Linked DNA regions of Arabidopsis thaliana. The protein of the gene in region 1 binds, or shares a complex with, the protein of each later gene. Each region holds a gene or a part of one and is shown on either strand. Other genes may lie near its edges. The genes, in order: RPS17, AT3G13120, rps15 and rps4.

Region 1 (4,277 bases):
ACGTTTGATGATATTCATGCAAATTGTTGTAGGATTCATGAACATGATACAAACACAAGAAGACATACACTGTATGTGTATGGAAACGTAGCAGATTCCCCGTTGACATTGCATGTTTAGGGAATCCAGTGACAAGGGTGTAATCACATTTTAGTATGTTACTATATGATAACATTTTATAATTTAAACGGCTCTCTATCTCTAATTATCAATGTTCAAAATCCTAAATAATGATTAGTTAAAATTAAGAGGTGTGGTCTGAAACATGCGCCCCACGTCCCATCTTCCAAAAAAAGGAAGCAAAAGAAGAAAGCTCCACAATTTTCTCAAAGCCAAAATCACTGTAACAATTACCCTTTATTGTTTTGCGGCTCGATTAGCTTCTCCTTCCCTTTTGATTCTCCCCATCTCAAGAGAGGCCCATTTGATCCTCTCTCTTTCTCTCTCTCTCCTCTCTAATTCTCTATTGCCATCAAGAGACCAGGAATGGTTCGTGCTTCGGAACAAGAACAGGAAACCTATAGGAGCAGGCTCTTCAATTTCAAATGGAGGAACAACGACAACAATAGTGCTACGAGACACAACAAGAGTCTCAGCGTCGAGACCGGTTTAGATGAGGCTGCCACCGGATCCCATGACGCTGAACCATTGACCATTATTCATCCTAGTCAGGGTCCACCACTTTCAAGATCGGCTGCGGATGAAGCAGTCCTCGCCGCCCTCGCCGCCTCACAGGCTAGAGAAAGGCAGCTTTTGGCAGACATGGAGCAGATGAAAGAGCGCTTCTCCAAGCTGTTGCTGGGAGAGGACAATTCCGGTGGAGGCAAAGGAGTATCCTCTGCTCTCGCCCTTTCAAACGCAATCACAAACCTTGCAGGTTGCTTTAGGACCCTCTTTTGTTATTACACTTAGTTTATATTAACCAGCAACCAATATCTCATGTTTATCTTGTTGGTATAGCTTCCGTGTTCGGAGAGCAACGGCGCTTGGAGCCAATGCCTGCAGAAAGAAGAGCAAGATGGAGAAAAGAGATTGATTGGCTTCTCTCCGTGACCGATTACGTGGTTGAGTTTGCTCCATCTCAGCAGAAAAATAAAGATGGGACCAATATGGAGGTTGTCTATCTGCTGCTGCTGCTGCATTATATTTCATTTGGTAACATACAATGATTCCCTTATTCTGTTGGTATTGATTTAACAGATAATGACCACACGCCAACGTACTGACCTCCACATGAATATCCCCGCATTGAAGAAACTGGACGCCATGCTCATCGTAAGACCTCTCTCTCTCTCTCTCTCGTTGACCAAATATCAACCCTACTTTAATAATTTCATTTAGGATATTCAAAAGCATCCTCTTATCCCCCTTTTCTACCTAGGATTGTCTAGAAAATTTCAAGGACCAAAGCGAGTTCAGCTATATCTCAAAAGACTCCCCTGACTTAGACGGTAAGAGAAACGACGAAAAATGGTGGATTCCGACCGTCAAAGTTCCACCAGATGGTCTATCAGAAGCTTCAAGAAGGTTTTTGCAGTACCAGAAAGATTGTGTAAACCAGGTTCTAAAGGCAGCCATGGCCATAAACGCACAGGTTTTGTTCGAGATGGAGATACCTGAGAGCTACATCGACTCTCTCCCAAAGGTAAAAAAAAAAAAAGACACCAACAATTGATGTTATTGATTAGAAGAGTTGATGAAGAATAATACTCACTTGTTTAGTTTGTAATAAATAAATAAACAGAACGGGAGGGCGAGTCTCGGGGATCAGATGTACAAGAATATAACGGTGGACTTCTTTGACCCGGACCAGTTCCTGAGCAGCATGGACATGTCGTCGGAGCACAAGATCGTGGACCTCAAAAACAGAATCGAGGCATCAATCATTATATGGAAACGCAAAATGGTTTATAAAGACAACAAATCATCGGCACCCTGGGCCTCCGGAGTAAGTCTGGAGAAGCGAGAGGTCTTCGAAGAGCGAGCTGAGACCATTTTGCTCATTCTCAAGCAAAGATACCCCGGGATTTCTCAATCTTCACTCGACATCAGCAAAATCCAGTTCAACGAGGACGTGGGCCAGGCGGTGCTGGAGAGCTACTCGAGAATACTGGAAAGCTTGGCCTACACGGTACTTTCCAGAATCGATGACGTTTTAGAGGCAGATCGAGCGGGGAACAAGAGGAACACGCCATTGGAAGCAGAGGAAGAGACGCTGGTTGGGAGCATGACGCTGTCGGATTTCATGGGATGGGACTTCGATCAGGCCGCGAACGCCGAATTGGAGTCGAAGAAGGATCTACCGGATGATCCGTTGATAAAGGAGAAGCTAAGCGTCGTCACGACCAAGAAGACCTCATACCTCGAAACCCTAGGCGGTGTCAAGAGTCCAACGGCACGGCATTGATATTTGTGTGGAAAATTAGGCGCAAAAAAGAGCGAAGACAGATTTATTGATTATTTAATTATTTTTAGGATTCAAAAACTTTACAAAAGGGCTTTTGTAAATTCCTTTTTATGAAAAGGTGGGCTTTTAAGATTAGGCCCAGTTTATTGTAAAACCCATTTACCATCTGTATACTGTATACATCCCTTCTAAATAGTAGTAGTACTCACCTTATCTTCATTTTCATCGATTCGATTCCAAATCGGAAGGATGATAACGTCGTCCCTAACCTCATCTCTGCAAGCTCTCAAGCTTTCGTCTCCGTTCGCCCATGGCTCCACTCCTCTCTCATCTCTCTCTAAGCCCAATTCCTTCCCGAACCACAGAATGCCCGCTTTAGTTCCGGTCATCAGAGCCATGAAAACGATGCAGGGGCGCGTGGTGTGCGCAACCAGTGACAAGACTGTGGCGGTGGAGGTGGTGAGGCTGGCTCCCCACCCCAAGTACAAGAGGCGCGTGAGGATGAAGAAGAAGTACCAAGCTCACGACCCCGATAATCAGTTCAAGGTTGGCGACGTGGTCAGACTGGAAAAGAGCAGACCCATCAGTAAGACTAAATCATTTGTGGCGCTTCCTGTCATCGCAAGGGCCGCCAGGAAAGCCGAAGCCGGAGGAGATGAACTCCTTGGCCTTCCCTTGGAGTCTCAGCAGCCGGCGTAGAGAATGATTGCTCTTTGTTTCTTTTGGTAAAGCCGTCTTTTTTTTGCTCTGCTTCTGTTTGTTTGTTGTGTATCCCGGAACCAGTGTAATTTATGGAATGCTTTTGTGATTTCATTGCTTATGCCATGAGTGTGTTTTCAATCTGATTGTTTCCGACTACCAATTGTTTGCTCTTACTTCATCTTCACCTCCAGTTACATTTAGAATGTGAATTAATATGTTTCTGTTGCTACTGTGTGCTTGTGGTCTCAGTGATCCGACTTTTGTTTCTGCTAATTCTACGGTTCTTGCTCCTCTTGTTATGGTTCATTTGCCAATGGAATGGACCAAAAAGGTGTTGGATAATAATAGGATTGGAGAAGAGAGAGCTGGTCGTTTTTGTACAAAACTTTAATGCACTGCTGCTATACATTATCATATAATTATATATAGGTAAATAATATCTGCTGTGACTTGTCATCAGCAATCTTCGATTTGTAGACTTCTCTTAATGTTGTGTAGTGTGACTGAGACGAGGTTTGTCACGGATTCCACAGACTCCATATTCAGCTTTGCTGCAGGAGAAGGGTTGATGAGGGTTTGGAGGGCGAGTGTCAGGAGCGACCCTCCTTGGCTGTTTCTGTCGTCTTGTGTAGACGTTATTACCAGTGGCCGTGACTCTACTCCATCAGGTATGATTGAGAATCCAGAGGGGAGGATTTGGATGTTGCTTGGATCATGTCCCGCGAGCACCAGCTGTGTCGTGTTTATATCTACGGGAGCGTATACCACCACCGACTCATACGAGTTAGTGCTGCTGTCTTGCAGCACCCATATGCTCTTTTCTCTCGATTTCACTGTCTGGAAATGTATAGAAATTCAGATTATCAAGGCCTAGACAGATTTAGAGGAGGAGAAGACAAAATAAACGCACCTGGATTGCCACTGAGTTGCCTCTGTCTTGTCCCTTGGATAAGTTTGCAATAGACTGAACATGAGCTCCGTTTGACAAAGCATCCCACTGATGATATGTATCGTTAGATAAATATATGAGTGGAAACCGCTTTTCTTGTTTGCTTAAATGTGTGTGAATTTGACAAGGTACCTCATGCCGACGAGCTTCATCTCTAAAGAAATCGAAGAGAAGAGCTGGAGAAACAGGTAACCACAGCGAAGAAGAAGCGCAGACAAT
Region 2 (6,002 bases), on another chromosome or scaffold:
ACATTTTACTTTTACCAAACCCATGATCAATTTAAAGAAATCTATACGTACTGTTCAAGCTTGGAATCATGGTACCGGATGTTCTGTTGGCCACGGAATCAGCAAAAGTTATCAGATCAAGAAAATTAAACATTTTAAAAATCAACTATAGCCAAGAAATAGAAAAAAATGGCTCAATCCATCACATATCATGTTTACACGAAAGTACATCATCTCCTAAAAGACATATAGAATTAGGAATATCCATCATACGTTTTTCTTTGACATTGAAAATTCATTATATGCAAAGGTATACACGTGTGCATGCACGGACAGCATTATTCCCCCGAAACTATCGGGTGTAGACAACACACCGCTAAAAACATGTAGTACATCAGTCTAGCCTATAGAACTAATAATGGAGTTCGATATGAAATATGTAAACATATAATTTTGTATGTATATGATCATATTGTAGTTTAATCGTATTTGACGAGTTTCATTTTTGCATAATATATACGAGGTAACAATTTTCAAGAAAAAGTGTAACGCGAGAGAATTACTTAGATTTAAAAAGGATTCCATTAAAAGAGATGCTTACAGAGGCTAGGAGGATGTAGAAGAAGCTAGAAAACGTAACTCGCTCTCTATATGAGCAAATTGCGTTTGATTAAACTTAAACAAAACTGATTAATTAGAAAGTACTCAAACAAGGATTAAATGCCGTTTAGCTTCGATTCTAAGCTCTTCCTTCATCTTTCTGATGAACTCGTCGAATTTCTTATTCATCTCCTCCTCCGTCGATGTCATCACTCCTACGTTCCCTTCTTCTTCCTCGTTTATAGATCCGCCACGAAGACCACACTCTTCCTCTCCATCATTATCTGCTAATGTGTTGTCGTCGTCATCTTCTTCTTCGTTGTCCTCGGTTTCTTGATGTTTTGTATCTTCCTCCACTGTAACTTCCTCTGCAAGAAAGGACTCTGTTCCTATTCCATGATCAGATTTATACTCTAGCTCCAGTATCGTAGTGTAACTCTCGAAATCTCCATAATCAAAGGTTTTATCGGTATTACTCCAAATTTTCTCTATTGGTTTGGACGAAGCGACCAAACCAGAACACTTAGCAACAACCACTACGAGACCATTGCAGAGGAGGAACATGTAGTTTTTATCTACTGCGTGTGTTACGAGTTGGATCATGAACCTATATAAATAGAAGTCGTGGCTGGTTAAAAGAGATAAAATCCACATCGAAACTGCTATAAACTTGGTCAATTTCTTCAGAAACTCCGGTTTTATTTGATCCATCTCTCTGGTTTCTTTTCTTTGGTTTTGTGAGTGAATGGTGAGGACTAGAATAAGAAGAAGAAGAAGAAGGAATTAAACAGGTTAAAGTGTAATTGTGCAAAGCGTTACACTACACTCAACGGCTTTGGTATTTATAGAATTTAAGCCAAAGGCAATGGGCATCTGTGGATGATTTTACCAAACCACCCCTTGTTCTGAAGCTGCATGGCTGCATGCCACGTGTGAAGTGTGATTTCCCAGTTATGTGGATAAAAAAAAGTCTCTGTGTTTCTTCTATTGTTTGTTTGTCAACTAATCCATGTTTTCTTATGTCCTATTATTGGTTACATTGCGAAACGACCTCTGGTTAGTGTTCCAAAAGTTCCGAATCTTTTATGACCTCTGATGGAATTCGGATTTTTTTTCTTTTTATATCATCAAGCTATACATGATGACTTAGCTTTTATGGTATGTTAATGGTAAAGGAATATGACTTTTAAGTCATGTATAGCTTGATGATATATATAAAAAAAAATACTCATGATTGAGACAAATACAAACGGAATAGTAAGGGATGATTGGTCTTTGAATAGTGTGAGGGCTTGTGGACAATAATATTTAGAAGATGTCATTGTCTTTTATGTCTTTGATTGGTTTAAGTCATTTTCCTTCTTTAAATTGCATGGATTTGGCGACATCATTATGTTAATTGTTAGGCTTCTTCTACATGTATTTTGCTTTTATTAAAAAAAAATTATACTTGAACTACGCTAACACCTTATATTTCCGTGTGAGATTATGGATCACACATTTGAAGGTATATATTTACAGATTATGGATCACACAATTACAGATAAAATTAAGAACAATGCATTTAAAAGTCAAAAATCAAAACTACGGAATCCTTCCTTGATATTATTGTCTTTTGTATTCAAATTAATATTATTTTATGAGTTTGTATTATTTCATCGAATATTTATATTGTCCATTTTTTTCCACATTCATTGCATATTTTCATGGGGTTTTGTTTGTCAAGTAGTTCATTTTGTCTTCCACTTTTCTTAAATTTTCCATCTACTTCACGAATGTTTGTGTGTTGAATTTTCCAAAAGATATTTATGAGATACAAAAGAATCTTCTAAAGACAGATCACAATCCACAAGAAAGAAAATACCGAAAGACAAATGAATCATATTTTACTAGGTTAGAATATTTTTGGTCCCCAAAAGAACTATAAAATATGGGCCTAATGGGTACTTTTGGTCCCTAACAGAAACTATACAATTTGGGCCTAATGGGTATTCATTTATAATAAGCGTAGGCCTTTTAATGAATTAATGGGCTTAGAATAAATAATATCTCATCATTTAAAAAAGAGAGAAAAAGGTTTTGGATAAAATGGATAACCCTCAAGAAGAAGCTGCTGAAGAAGAAACCTCATCCTTCGAACGTTAAGAGGAAGAAGAATAAGAGAAATCGATTCGTGGTTTTGGGAAAATTCAATGGCGGTTTCTACTGTATCGTCGTTTCTATTGCCATCTTTCGGCATTCCAAGCTCTTCGCCTTCTTCTACCAGACTCAAAGTCTCTCTGCTGCCTTCATCTTCTACCCATGGCGGCCTTAGTTCCTGCGTCCTTACGAAACCATCCGTCTCGCTTACGAAGGTCTTCGCTGTTCCCGATACCCTAGATCCAACTCCAGAAATTCTCGATGAACCCGCCTCTGAGGTACACTCTTTCCTCTGTCAGTCTCGGATTCGATTGTTTGCAGAGCTAATGCGAAATTTGGGGGGGGGGGGGGAAAGACATTGTTTTGCAGAATCATTTAGCACTTTGATGTTAATTCTGTTAATAATAGTCTTTGTGTCTGTGTGATTCAGGTTCCGAGCTCTTCATCCATCAGTGTAGACGCGGATAAGGTATATTCCGTTACTGTTACAGCTCACTTACTAGAATACAGATTTTACGAGTACTTGTGCATTGGTGTGTTCTAAATTCTGTGTCCATCTTCGTCAAAACAGTAGACTTTTTTGCTTTACTACGTTTTCACAGCGCTAAAAAGTATCATATCTGTTCTAACACCAATGCCCATTGCTGTGTTAGAGGTCACTGCTAGAAATTGATACGCAAATTTTCAAATTTGATGTCTTCAATGTCTATCTTTGTCAGATCAATAGACTTCTTTGGTTTACTACGTTTTTTCAGAGCGATAAAGAGTCTCATTTGTGTGAAATGCCTTCAAGTAGATATCATCTTGTATATACAGGAAAGGAGAAGTAATTGTATAGAAATCTTGATCGTCTTTAGATGGTATCTTCATAAGATTTGCCACAATAGAGTTTTGTTTTAAGGGGTCTTGTGGAGTTTCATTGTGTTTGGTTTAATTTGATTTATTTTTGTGTTATCAGATGGCGCCAAAGCAAAAGATTAGGATCAAGCTTAGATCATACTGGGTGCCTCTTATTGAGGACTCATGCAAGCAGATACTTGATGCTGCGAGAAACACCAATGCAAAGACGATGGGTCCTGTTCCATTGCCAACCAAGAAGCGTATCTACTGTGTTCTCAAGTCTCCTCACGTTCACAAGGATGCTAGGTTCCATTTTGAAATCCGGACACACCAGCGCATGATTGATATTCTCTACCCGACTGCTCAAACTATCGATTCTTTGATGCAACTTGATCTTCCTGCTGGTGTCGATGTGGAAGTGAAGCTCTGAAGAAGAAGCGTAACTACAATGGTAACAAACAAAAAAAGTGATCTCTCTTCTTAATGGTTTTTGAATATTGATGTGTCTTAGCTACTGAAACTGCACATAGGCTCCAATATTTATCCTCAAAAACAAAACTTCATCAAATTACAATCTTTCTCTGTTGACCATCAAGATCTTGATGCTTGTTCTTAACCAAAGTGTTTTTTCTTCCTCAGATGTGATGGGCACTTTTGCATTGAATGAACAGACTGTTTCAGATCAACTACATTGCTTAGAACTGGTAAGCCTTGTATCATCTTTTTTGAGAACCTTTGTAACGAAAATGTAAGTTGTATTATCTGGTCCTTGGAATCTATCTTTAGCGATGCTTGGTTCTTAGTTGATGAACATATCCTTAATTAAGCAAGTTCAAAGGAATTTGTTTTTGTTTTACTAATTGTTATGCAGTTTGCCTGTGTCCATTATGATAAGTTTTTTTATTTTTGTTGTATTCAAAGTGGAATCTTTTTTTTGAATATAAGTATTATAGTAGTATTATAGTAGGAATAAGAAGATGCACAACTTGAGTTATTTTAAAACCAGGAGGTTGGAATCTTGAAAGCGACTTCATTATTATAATAAACGTATAAGTTCGTTTATCCACAAACTCAATAGGGAAATTATAATTTTTTGTCACAACACATTTCATTTATCAATTATCCTCTAGACTCAGTTCGTCTCTTTTCTTAGCAGCCAATTAAAACCTGCAAGTGTTGTTTTACCAGTCTTTCCTTTCCAAGCTTACGAAACGATCCAAGGGAAAAAACAGTAATGGTTTCGAATTTATGTCTGATAAGTCGATGGCGCTTTTTCTTATCTAATTTGGAATTTTGGATGATGCAGAAATTGTCAACCCCCCAATATTATAAAGTTGAAGAATATTCTTTTCCATGTTCAATCATACACACAACTATATCATTATTTTAATCATATGAAATGGTTTTTGGTATAGTAAGAAGTGGTTCATTGTAAGATAATGTCTTGACCAAAGAAGAAAGAAAACGAATAGTCGCCAAAATTGAATTTGGTTTAAGTAGATGAGACAATGATGTGGCGGTTTATAATAGTCGTTAAAGTTAAGGCATATTCCCACGATATACCAACATGGACCGTCCATTATTATTTATTTTGATTATAGTTTGTTCTCAAAAACACTCGAATAAATTGCTTTTTTTTTTCACAGCATTACTGAAATCATACATAATTTCTGCTTCCATAATCTTATATTTTACGAGATCGGTTTTATGATAAACTTTCAAGTAGTACCATTATGGGTTGTATTTTCTTTTACTACCATTTTGGGTTTATTGCAATTTGCATAAACATATTCAAAACTATTTTGCGTTCAACCAAATGGTTAAACTCTGGTTCATATTGATATACCAAAACACTCATATTGGATCAAATATGTAAGGTGATAATAACACTGATATGAACTAGTATACTATGTCTTATGAGTCACTATTTTCTCTAACTTTAATAAAAGTTTAGCTGTGATTCATTATTCGTGATTATGGTATCCTCATATCAGAATTGCTTTGTTCTAATTCAGTCTTATTGTTCACTAATCCTGATCGAAAATACATGGCCACATTAGAAGCATCAAACAAACAGGGTTTTATGTTTTCCACACTCGAAGAGACAATATTTTCAACGGCTGAAACTGAAAGGAAACAAAATATAATTTTAAGACAAAAAAAAAAGAAAAGAAAACATATATTTCTTCTTTTGGTTGTAGTATTTTGAGACCTCACTGATTGTCGGAAAATAATTGGAGGGGTTCCCACTGATTTTGAATTTCTGTAATACCAATTGTTTGTTTTATTAGAAAACAACACCTTCAATTTGTATTTTCCCCTTGTTGTTTGGGATGGCAGTTACTTAAATAAAATATTTATCTAAAACCCATCGAAGAAATTGATTCTAAACATAACAAATAGTTATTTTTTTTCACACAATCTCACTTGGATATAGTTTATTA
Region 3 (3,956 bases), on another chromosome or scaffold:
TCCCATAATTATATCTATGCTACCGAGTATCGTCATAATATCAGCCAATTTCATTCTTTTAACTAGTTCAGGAAGAATTTGCAAATTAATAAAACCCGGTGGTCGTATTTTCCATCTCCAAGGAAAACCGCTTTGATCTCCTATGAGAAAAATTCCCAACTCCCCTTTTGGAGCTTCAACTCTTACATAAAGTTCTTGTTTTGATAATTCAAAAGTAGGAGAAGGTTTTTTACTAATGAATCGATATTCAAAATCATTCCATTCTGGATTCCTTTTTCTATCAAAGCCCCTGCTTTCTAAATTCTCATAGGGACCCCCTGGAAGTCCTTCCAGAGCCTGTTGAATAATTTTTATGGATTCTGTCATTTCGCTAAGTCGTACTAAATAACGAGCTAATGAATCTCCTTGTTTTTGCCATTGAATTTCCCATTCAAATTCATCGTAAGACTCATAACGATCAATTTTACGAAGATCCCATGGTATTCCGGATGCGCGTAGCATTGGTCCGGATAAACCCCAATTTATTGCTTCTTCCCCACCAATAATCCCAACTCCTTCAACCCGTTCTAAAAAAATAGGATTTCGTGTAATGAGTTTTTGATATTCAACAACCTCTGTTAAAAAATAATCACAAAAATCCAAGCATTTATCTATCCAACCATAAGGTAAATCAGCCGCTATTCCTCCAATACGAAAAAAATTATGCATCATTCTCATACCGGTGGCAGCTTCGAATAGATCATATACAAATTCTCGTTCTCTGAAAATATAGAAAAAGGGAGTCTGTGCACCAATATCTGCCATAAAAGGGCCGAGCCATAACAGATGAGAAGCTATACGACTCAATTCCAGCATAATTACTCTGATATAGCTGGCCCTTTTAGGAACTTGAATATTTCCCAATTGTTCTGGTCCATTTACTGTTATTGCTTCTGTAAACATAGTAGCTAAATAATCCCATCGCGTTACATACGGTAAATATTGTATAATTGCTCGGTTTTCTGCAATTTTTTCCATTCCTCTGTGTAAATAACCTAATATGGGTTCACAGTCAACAACATCCTCACCATCTAGAGTAACAATTAAGCGAAGAACACCATGCATGGATGGGTGGTGAGGTCCCATATTGACTATCATAAGATCTTTTCCTGTAACTGGTCTCTTCATAAGTTTTTCCTTGATTCGTTCTGGCATGAATTAGATTTCTGAATAAAGAAGTTTATCAAAAAATTCAAGATCTAAAAAATTCACTAATTCACAATTTTTGAATTTAACGAGTTTTTAATTCCCGAATATTCAACTGATTAATTAATTCTTTATAACGTACTCTATTTTTTTTTGACAAATAAGCCAGCAGTCGTTGACGTTTTCCCAGAATTTTTCGTAGACCCCGCTGAGATAAATAATCTTTTCTGTGCAATTCCAAATGTGAAGTAAGTCTTCGTATCTTATTAGTGAAACTAAATACTTGAAATTCAACGGATCCCCTGCTTTCTTCTTTTTGTTCTTCAAATGAAATGACTATATTTTTTATCATAAAAAGAAATCCTTCCCCTTTTAATATGAATTGAAAGATATTAATTTTACTGATCAGTAATAATAATGGTAGTTTTTTTGTACAAGGATCTTAATTTAATTATCAACCTCTTAATTCTTCATTTTAGAAAAAAATCTAAATTTAGATCTCAAAAAGAAGGATTCTGTTAATTTATTTATGAATCCGCTATAATTGGTATCTATGTGATTGATTAAATTAATCTCATGTATAAAGATTTAATTTAAAACAATCCCTCATATTTGTGCATATAGTTGTTTTCATATACCGTAACTTATTATATATAGTAAAAAGTATTTATGATTAAGGAATTGGAAATCGCGTATACATGCGTATTCTTATCATACTGAAATGATTTCCGTTAGTAGTATTAAACCAATAGCGATTCATACAAGCTAAATCTTCTAATTTAAAATTGGGCCAAAGAAAGGATTTTAAATTAATTAAGTTATTTTTATCCTTATCAAGATCAAGATCTTTCTTTTTATGCAAAACGGTGGTCAAGTTTTGAATATTCTTATCAAATCTTGAATTTGTATCCCTAGCATTTTTTTTTTTTAAGTTGAAACAAATTAGAATTCGAAATTCTCTACGTCGTTTAGGGGATAGAATTTTTTCAGGGACAAAGAAATCATAATTATTTTTTTTTTTATTTACAGTTTTGTTTTGATATTTTGTAATGGATTTTTCAAAAAATTTTTTATTAATATAGCTTTTTTTTTTGTATCTTTTACTTATTTTGTGTTTATTTTTATGAACCAATGAAATACCTATGGTTCTATATATAATAAGTTGTCCATCGTTTTGTACAGACAAACGCACAGGTTCAATAATCAATATTCCTTTTTTCATTAATTTTGCAAAAGTGAAATTTTTCTCAATCATTAGAATGTCTAGGCTCATCTCTCCTCTTTCAATAGAAGATACCGCTATTTCGTTTGGATTGTTTAGTCTAACCAAGAGACAGTATACTTTTACATTATTGAGAATTTTTTGATTAAAAAAACAATTCCATCGCAATTGAAAACGCGAATATCTTGTCAGAAATAAATCAAGTTCCGCTTCTGTATTACTTTTGTATTGTTTTTTATTTTTACGTTTTTTTATTGTTGATTCTGCAAAATTTTCTTCAATATTTTTTTCTTGGTTTAATCGAGCTGCTTCGGGATTTCTTTTTGTTTCTTTATCTGATTCAAGTTCTACTTGACCGGCCGATTCTTTTTCTTCTTTATTCAGATTATAAAATCGAAGGGATTCTTTTTCATTTGATGGTATAAAACCTTTTTTCTTTCGAATGATCTTTTTATTAACATTTATGTTTTCATTAAAATTTAAAAGAAGTAATTTGATTGGTATGACCCATGGTTTCATTTTATATGTACTAGAAAATAAGAAAAATTCCGGAAAGAAAAAAAATTCAAAATTTGTTATACGCTGATTTAGTATTTCTTCATTCATTCCCATCCAATCAAAAAAGTTTCTTTTTTTATTAGCAAGATCCGTCTGCGTTATTTTATCAATTTTTTGATAATTCTGAACTTTAGTATTAATATATTTTTTTTTACTCTTAGTATCAACCCAAGGCTCAATAGTTACTTTTTTTGTAAACCAAAAGTTAAGAATTCTCCAATCCAAATATTTTCTATGCCGAATTTCCCCCATACCCCGAATATTATATTTTTCTAGAAAAGAAGAGACTAAACAATTATCTAGGGCAATGCCTATAGACATGTCAAAATTTTTTTCTGTAGAATGAATAGATTTATAGCAAAAAAGATTATATATAGAATCTTTTTTTACATTATGTTTTGGATTTAATAATGAGTCGGCCTCAAAAAATTTTTGTTTTTTATAATTATCAAATTTCTTTTTTTCATATGAATCCTCTTTGGTTAAACTTGGGTTTAGAACTAGAGAATCTTTATTTATTTTATTTTTCCAATTTTGGGTTACTAATCTAGCCCATGAAATCTGGGGTAAATTGTATTGATACTGACTTCGTAACCAGTTTTTCCATTGATTTACTTCGGAATTCAAAAAGGTTTTATTTTTCAATTCATAATGAAAGATTCCGTGTTCTTGAAAAAAAACCTTTATTTTATTCTTAACAAAAAAGGATGTTATGCATATGTTATATTCAAGAACAGCCTTTAATTTACAAAAGTTACTAACTTTAATTTGTGATAATTTGTAAAATACATATGCTTGTGATAAAGAGCATAGGTCATAACTCATTTTTTTTTTATTGGATATTAAATTTTTTATAGTCGAAATAAAATAAAGAGTATTTTTTTTTTTTTCTCCATTTTCTTCATTCTTGTAAATATATTTATCAAGAATTTTTTTTGTTGATTCAAAAAAAAGTTGTGTAGTAATTCTTGGAATATTAATGATACCTAGA
Region 4 (4,475 bases), on another chromosome or scaffold:
TGAAGAATAAAAACTTATCAAAATTAATAAATCCTCTGCCAAGAACCAGATTTGAACTGGTGACACGAGGATTTTCAGTCCTCTGCTCTACCAACTGAGCTATCCCGGCGAAGGATCATCCTCGTTTTACGAATGGTGGCACAACGATTTCAAGTCCCCCGGAAAAAAGCTATGTCCACCATTAGTCTACTGAAGTATCAAGTATCATCTACTGAAGTATCATGCTCGTTTTCCTAATGGTGACACGAGGATTTCGAGTCCTCTGCAAAAAAGCTATGTCTACCTTTACTGAAGGATCATTATCATGTGACACAGGGATTTTAAGTCCCCCGCAATTAAGCTATGCCGACCATTACTGAGGTATCATCTACTGAAGTATCATCTTGCTTTTACTAATGGTGACATAAGGATTTTCAGTCCTCTACTAATGGTGACATAAGGATTTTCAGTCCTCTGCAACTAAGCTATGTCGACCATTACCGAAGGATCATCTTGCTTTTACTAATGGTGACACAAGGATTTTCAGTCCCCCGCAATTAAGCTATGTGTACCATTACCGAAGTATAATCTACTGAAGTATCAGTATCATTTTAATATATGACTTAGGTCTATGTCAATGAAAAGAAACTCAAAAGTAGTAAATTCAAAAAGTTGTGGACCGGGAATTTCTTGGATTTTATAAATAAAAGAAGACTTTCTAAGTTTGAAAATGAAAAATGATATAGATTATAAATAATTCAAATAAATAATAACGAAAAAAAGGTAAGGTGTCAACCTTTTCGGGGAGTAGAGCTGGGGATAGAGGGACTTGAACCCTCACGATTTTAAAAGTCAACGGATTTTCATCTTACTATAAATTTCATTGTTGTCAGTATTGACATGTAAAATGGGACTCTATCTTTATTCTCGTCCGATTAATTAAGTTCCATCAAGGATCTATCAGACTATGAAGTGAATAATTTTATTTTAATCAAGAAATATTATTTCTTAAACTTCGAATTGATTCACAACATTTTGATTTTGTTTATAAAAAAATAGAAATCGAGATTCAGGTCGTCATTTTTGAGATCGTTTTGTGTTACCTAAATTTATACAATATAGGTTTTTATCCTTCATCCTTTTTGATTTGAAGTTTCGATCGAAGGATTCCTTTATGAACACAAGGTAGTGAACTCCATTTGTTAGAACAGCTTCCATTGAGTCTCTGCACCTATCCCTTTTTTCGCGCTTTGTAAACTCCGGTTTGTTCGCGTAAACCAGGATTTGGCTCAGGATTGCCCATTGTTAATTCCAGGGTTTCTCTGAATTTGAAAGTTATCACTTAGTAGGTTTCCATACCAAGGCTCAATCCAATTAAGTCCGTAGCGTCTACCAATTCCGCCATATCCCCTTTTTTAGGATCTCATTATGATGTCTTTCCTTTTTTTTCTTATGCCGAAACCTCGGGATTCATTACATTATAGATACTTATTTTATGTCTTTGTTATCTTCTTTTATTTTTTTGAGCTCCATCCATATTGATTTAGTCTAATCAACAAAGATTCTATCATTTTTGTATTTGCAATTCAATATGGTTATATATTACATAACATATATATGTTCTTTTTTTTTTCATCTTTGGCTTAAATTTTCAGAAATAGTCGAACGGTCGATTCTTTTTTTTTTTTTTACTTTCATGAAAAGAAATTTATTATTATTATTATTGAAACTTAGAATTCTACAATGTGCAATGGAAAAAAATTATAAGTCTACTTCGTAAATTTGAAATTCTAATAATTCTATACTATTCTATGACTATATAGATATATATATAGAATTAAGGTTATGTTTTATTTATTTAATGATGAATGATAGTCACTATTTATGTGAGCTATATTCTGTTCTAGAATATATAGAATATCATTAATTCTAACTAGATAAGGAAAAATATTAATAGAATAGTTAATTGATACGATCTAGTAGTTTAGTGAATTTGTATGCATGCGCTATTTTATTTGAGCCCGCTTAGCTCAGAGGTTAGAGCATCGCATTTGTAATGCGATGGTCATCGGTTCGATTCCGATAGCCGGCTTTTCCATATTTTTTCGTTTTTTTTTACATGATTTTTAATGTACTTTCAAAATCAAAGAAGATTGAAAAGACTTCTTTGACCTTTTTCCAAGAGTTACCACTCCATTTATATTATGTCATATAAACTTCCATATTAGGAATATATATTGGGTAAAAGAGTTTGATCTTTGCAAAATTAATCAAGAAAATAAAGGAAAATTTTTGTGATTTAGTTGATTTATATATATTGTATATACAATAAAAAAAATCTGTATATTGAGAGAATATATCTTCTTACTCTTTGTATTCCAATAGTGGAGTGTATTTCACGTCATTTATCATTATCATTTAGTTCAGTTTTAATTTTATTTAGTTTTGTACAATTTCAATCAAAAAAGGAGTCTTTATGTCACGTTACCGAGGGCCTCGTTTTAAAAAAATACGCCGTCTGGGGGCTTTACCGGGACTAACTAGTAAAAGGCCTAAGGCAGGAAGCGATCTTAGAAACCAATCACGCTCCGTAAAAAAATCTCAATATCGTATTCGTTTAGAAGAAAAACAAAAATTGCGTTTTCATTATGGTCTTACAGAACACCAATTACTTAAATATGTGCGTATAGCCGGAAAAGCCAAGGGGTCAACAGGTCAAGTTTTACTACAATTACTTGAAATGCGTTTGGATAACATCCTTTTTCGATTGGGTATGGCTTTGACTATTCCTCAAGCGCGCCAATTAGTTAATCATGGACATATTTTAGTTAATGGTCGTATAGTTGATATACCAAGTTATCGCTGCAAACCCCGAGATATTATTACAGTGAAGGATGAACAAAACTCTAGAACTTTGGTTCAAAATCTTCTTGATTCATCTGCCCCTGAGGAATTGCCAAACCATCTGACTCTTCACACATTCCAATATGAAGGGTTAGTCAATCAAATAATAGATAGGAAATGCGTCGGTTTGAAAATAAATGAATTGCTTGTCGTAGAATATTACTCTCGACAGACTTAATAAACCTAACTTAAGTAAAAAAAAAAATTACTAAAAACAAGAGTTCGGACAACTCCCCTTTTCCATTAAAAATAAAAAGGCACAAGGTAAGGGATTTTGTCAAAGAATATTTTTCCTATTCATGTATCATAGATTGGTAGGGAGATTGGGATCCCTTGTTTGCTCTTCCCAGCATTTTCCATATGAAAGAAATTAGGAATAGAGAATCTATTTCAAAATCAAAACAAGGTAGATCTTATATCGATTCTTTTTTATTGGATTTGATACATTGTGGTCAATCACGTAAGATTGGTGAATTTGTTGAAAGTACGGAAAGAGAGGGATTCGAACCCTCGGTAAACAAAAGTCTACATAACAGTTCCAATGTTACGCCTTCAACCACTCGGCCATCTCTCCGACATCAAGATTATGACTGAGTATCTGGGTGAATAGCGAGTTATTCATCGTTTTTTAGATTATGGTTAATAGATACCCTTTTTGACCGGAAAATTTGGAAGTAGATAGAAGGTTTTTTTTAATGAGTCCGCTTTTATGTTAGTTCGTACTATACAATTCCTTTGTTTGTGAGAAAATTTTCTCACAAAAGAAAAGGTAAAGGAAATAAAAAGAGTTAGAGAATGGATTACTACCTATGCCAAGATCGCGTATAAATGGAAATTTTATTGATAAAACCTTTACAATTGTAGCCGATATCTTATTACGAGTCATTCCGACAACTTCCGGAGAAAAAGAGGCATTTACTTATTACAGAGATGGTGCGATTTGATTATCATTATTTTTTTTCTCGCCGATTTTGATTGGAATAGAAAGAAAAACGAGTATTGAAAAAAAATCTACGCTTTTGAAGGTGAAGTTTATAATATAAAAAAAACAATCCCTTCTGTCATGTATCCACGATTAATGCAGCCTTAGATGCTTCAATTGTGAATTATAGTATTGAGCAAAAGGTTTTTACCTATGGTTCCCGTATTACAGATCAATCCTACTACACTAATACAATATACGAATAGGAGGCATAGGGGAAGAAGCACTACGCCGAGAAATCAACAACACGAAAACTTTCTTAAAAATGATTCCCTTTCTTCTTCTTCGTTGGGATTGGGACTAATTAAAATGGTTGGAACAATAAACATCCATCTCGTTCGTATTTTGGATACCCGTATAACCATTGAAGACTGTTGAAGTGACTAATTCCTGGAAACTTAGGGGCGTTGAGAACAAAGAAATTTTTAGAGTTTCCTTTTTTATTTTTATCTAGCATGAACCCACTTGGTAGTAAGAAAAGATCTTTTGCAAGAAGGTTGGCTAGGGATTTCTTGTAAAAACATTAGCCCCGCTTAGTTCATAATGACATCACATTTTTACATATATTATTTTCATTATGCACCTAAAGGAGGAGCCGTATGAGATGAAA

Evidence for each region.
Region 2: RPS17 (region 1) and AT3G13120 share a complex: the UniProt entries of both Arabidopsis thaliana proteins name them as parts of the 30S ribosomal subunit.
Region 3: RPS17 (region 1) and rps15 share a complex: the UniProt entries of both Arabidopsis thaliana proteins name them as parts of the 30S ribosomal subunit.
Region 4: RPS17 (region 1) and rps4 share a complex: the UniProt entries of both Arabidopsis thaliana proteins name them as parts of the 30S ribosomal subunit.

What each region holds. Positions count from the first base shown.
Region 1 is NC_003070.9:30,040,302-30,044,578, reverse strand, and holds RPS17 (ribosomal protein S17), read left to right. Parts: upstream 1-2,626; 5' UTR 2,627-2,656; coding exon 2,657-3,106; 3' UTR 3,107-3,336; downstream 3,337-4,277. Other genes in the region: ROPGEF12 (RHO guanyl-nucleotide exchange factor 12), read left to right, coding at 487-877, 961-1,115, 1,201-1,275, 1,382-1,645, 1,745-2,407; GL2 (HD-ZIP IV family of homeobox-leucine zipper protein with lipid-binding START domain-containing protein), read right to left, coding at 3,566-3,946, 4,020-4,106, 4,191-4,277. UniProt on the Arabidopsis thaliana protein: One of the primary rRNA binding proteins, it binds specifically to the 5'-end of 16S ribosomal RNA. Required for optimal plastid performance in terms of photosynthesis and growth. Required for the translation of plastid mRNAs.
Region 2 is NC_003074.8:4,218,296-4,224,297, reverse strand, and holds AT3G13120 (Ribosomal protein S10p/S20e family protein), read left to right. Parts: upstream 1-2,650; 5' UTR 2,651-2,771; coding exon 2,772-2,996; intron 2,997-3,148; coding exon 3,149-3,187; intron 3,188-3,676; coding exon 3,677-3,988; 3' UTR 3,989-4,009; exon of another isoform or gene 4,010-4,025; intron 4,026-4,197; 3' UTR 4,198-4,988; downstream 4,989-6,002. Other genes in the region: AT3G13130 (uncharacterized protein), read right to left, coding at 685-1,290.
Region 3 is NC_000932.1:122,026-125,981, forward strand, and holds rps15 (ribosomal protein S15), read right to left. Parts: upstream 1,538-3,956; coding exon 1,271-1,537; downstream 1-1,270. Other genes in the region: ndhH (NADH dehydrogenase subunit 7), read right to left, coding at 1-1,167.
Region 4 is NC_000932.1:43,809-48,283, reverse strand, and holds rps4 (ribosomal protein S4), read left to right. Parts: upstream 1-2,455; coding exon 2,456-3,061; downstream 3,062-4,475. Other genes in the region: photosystem I assembly protein Ycf3, read left to right, coding at 3,693-3,818. UniProt on the Arabidopsis thaliana protein: One of the primary rRNA binding proteins, it binds directly to 16S rRNA where it nucleates assembly of the body of the 30S subunit. With S5 and S12 plays an important role in translational accuracy.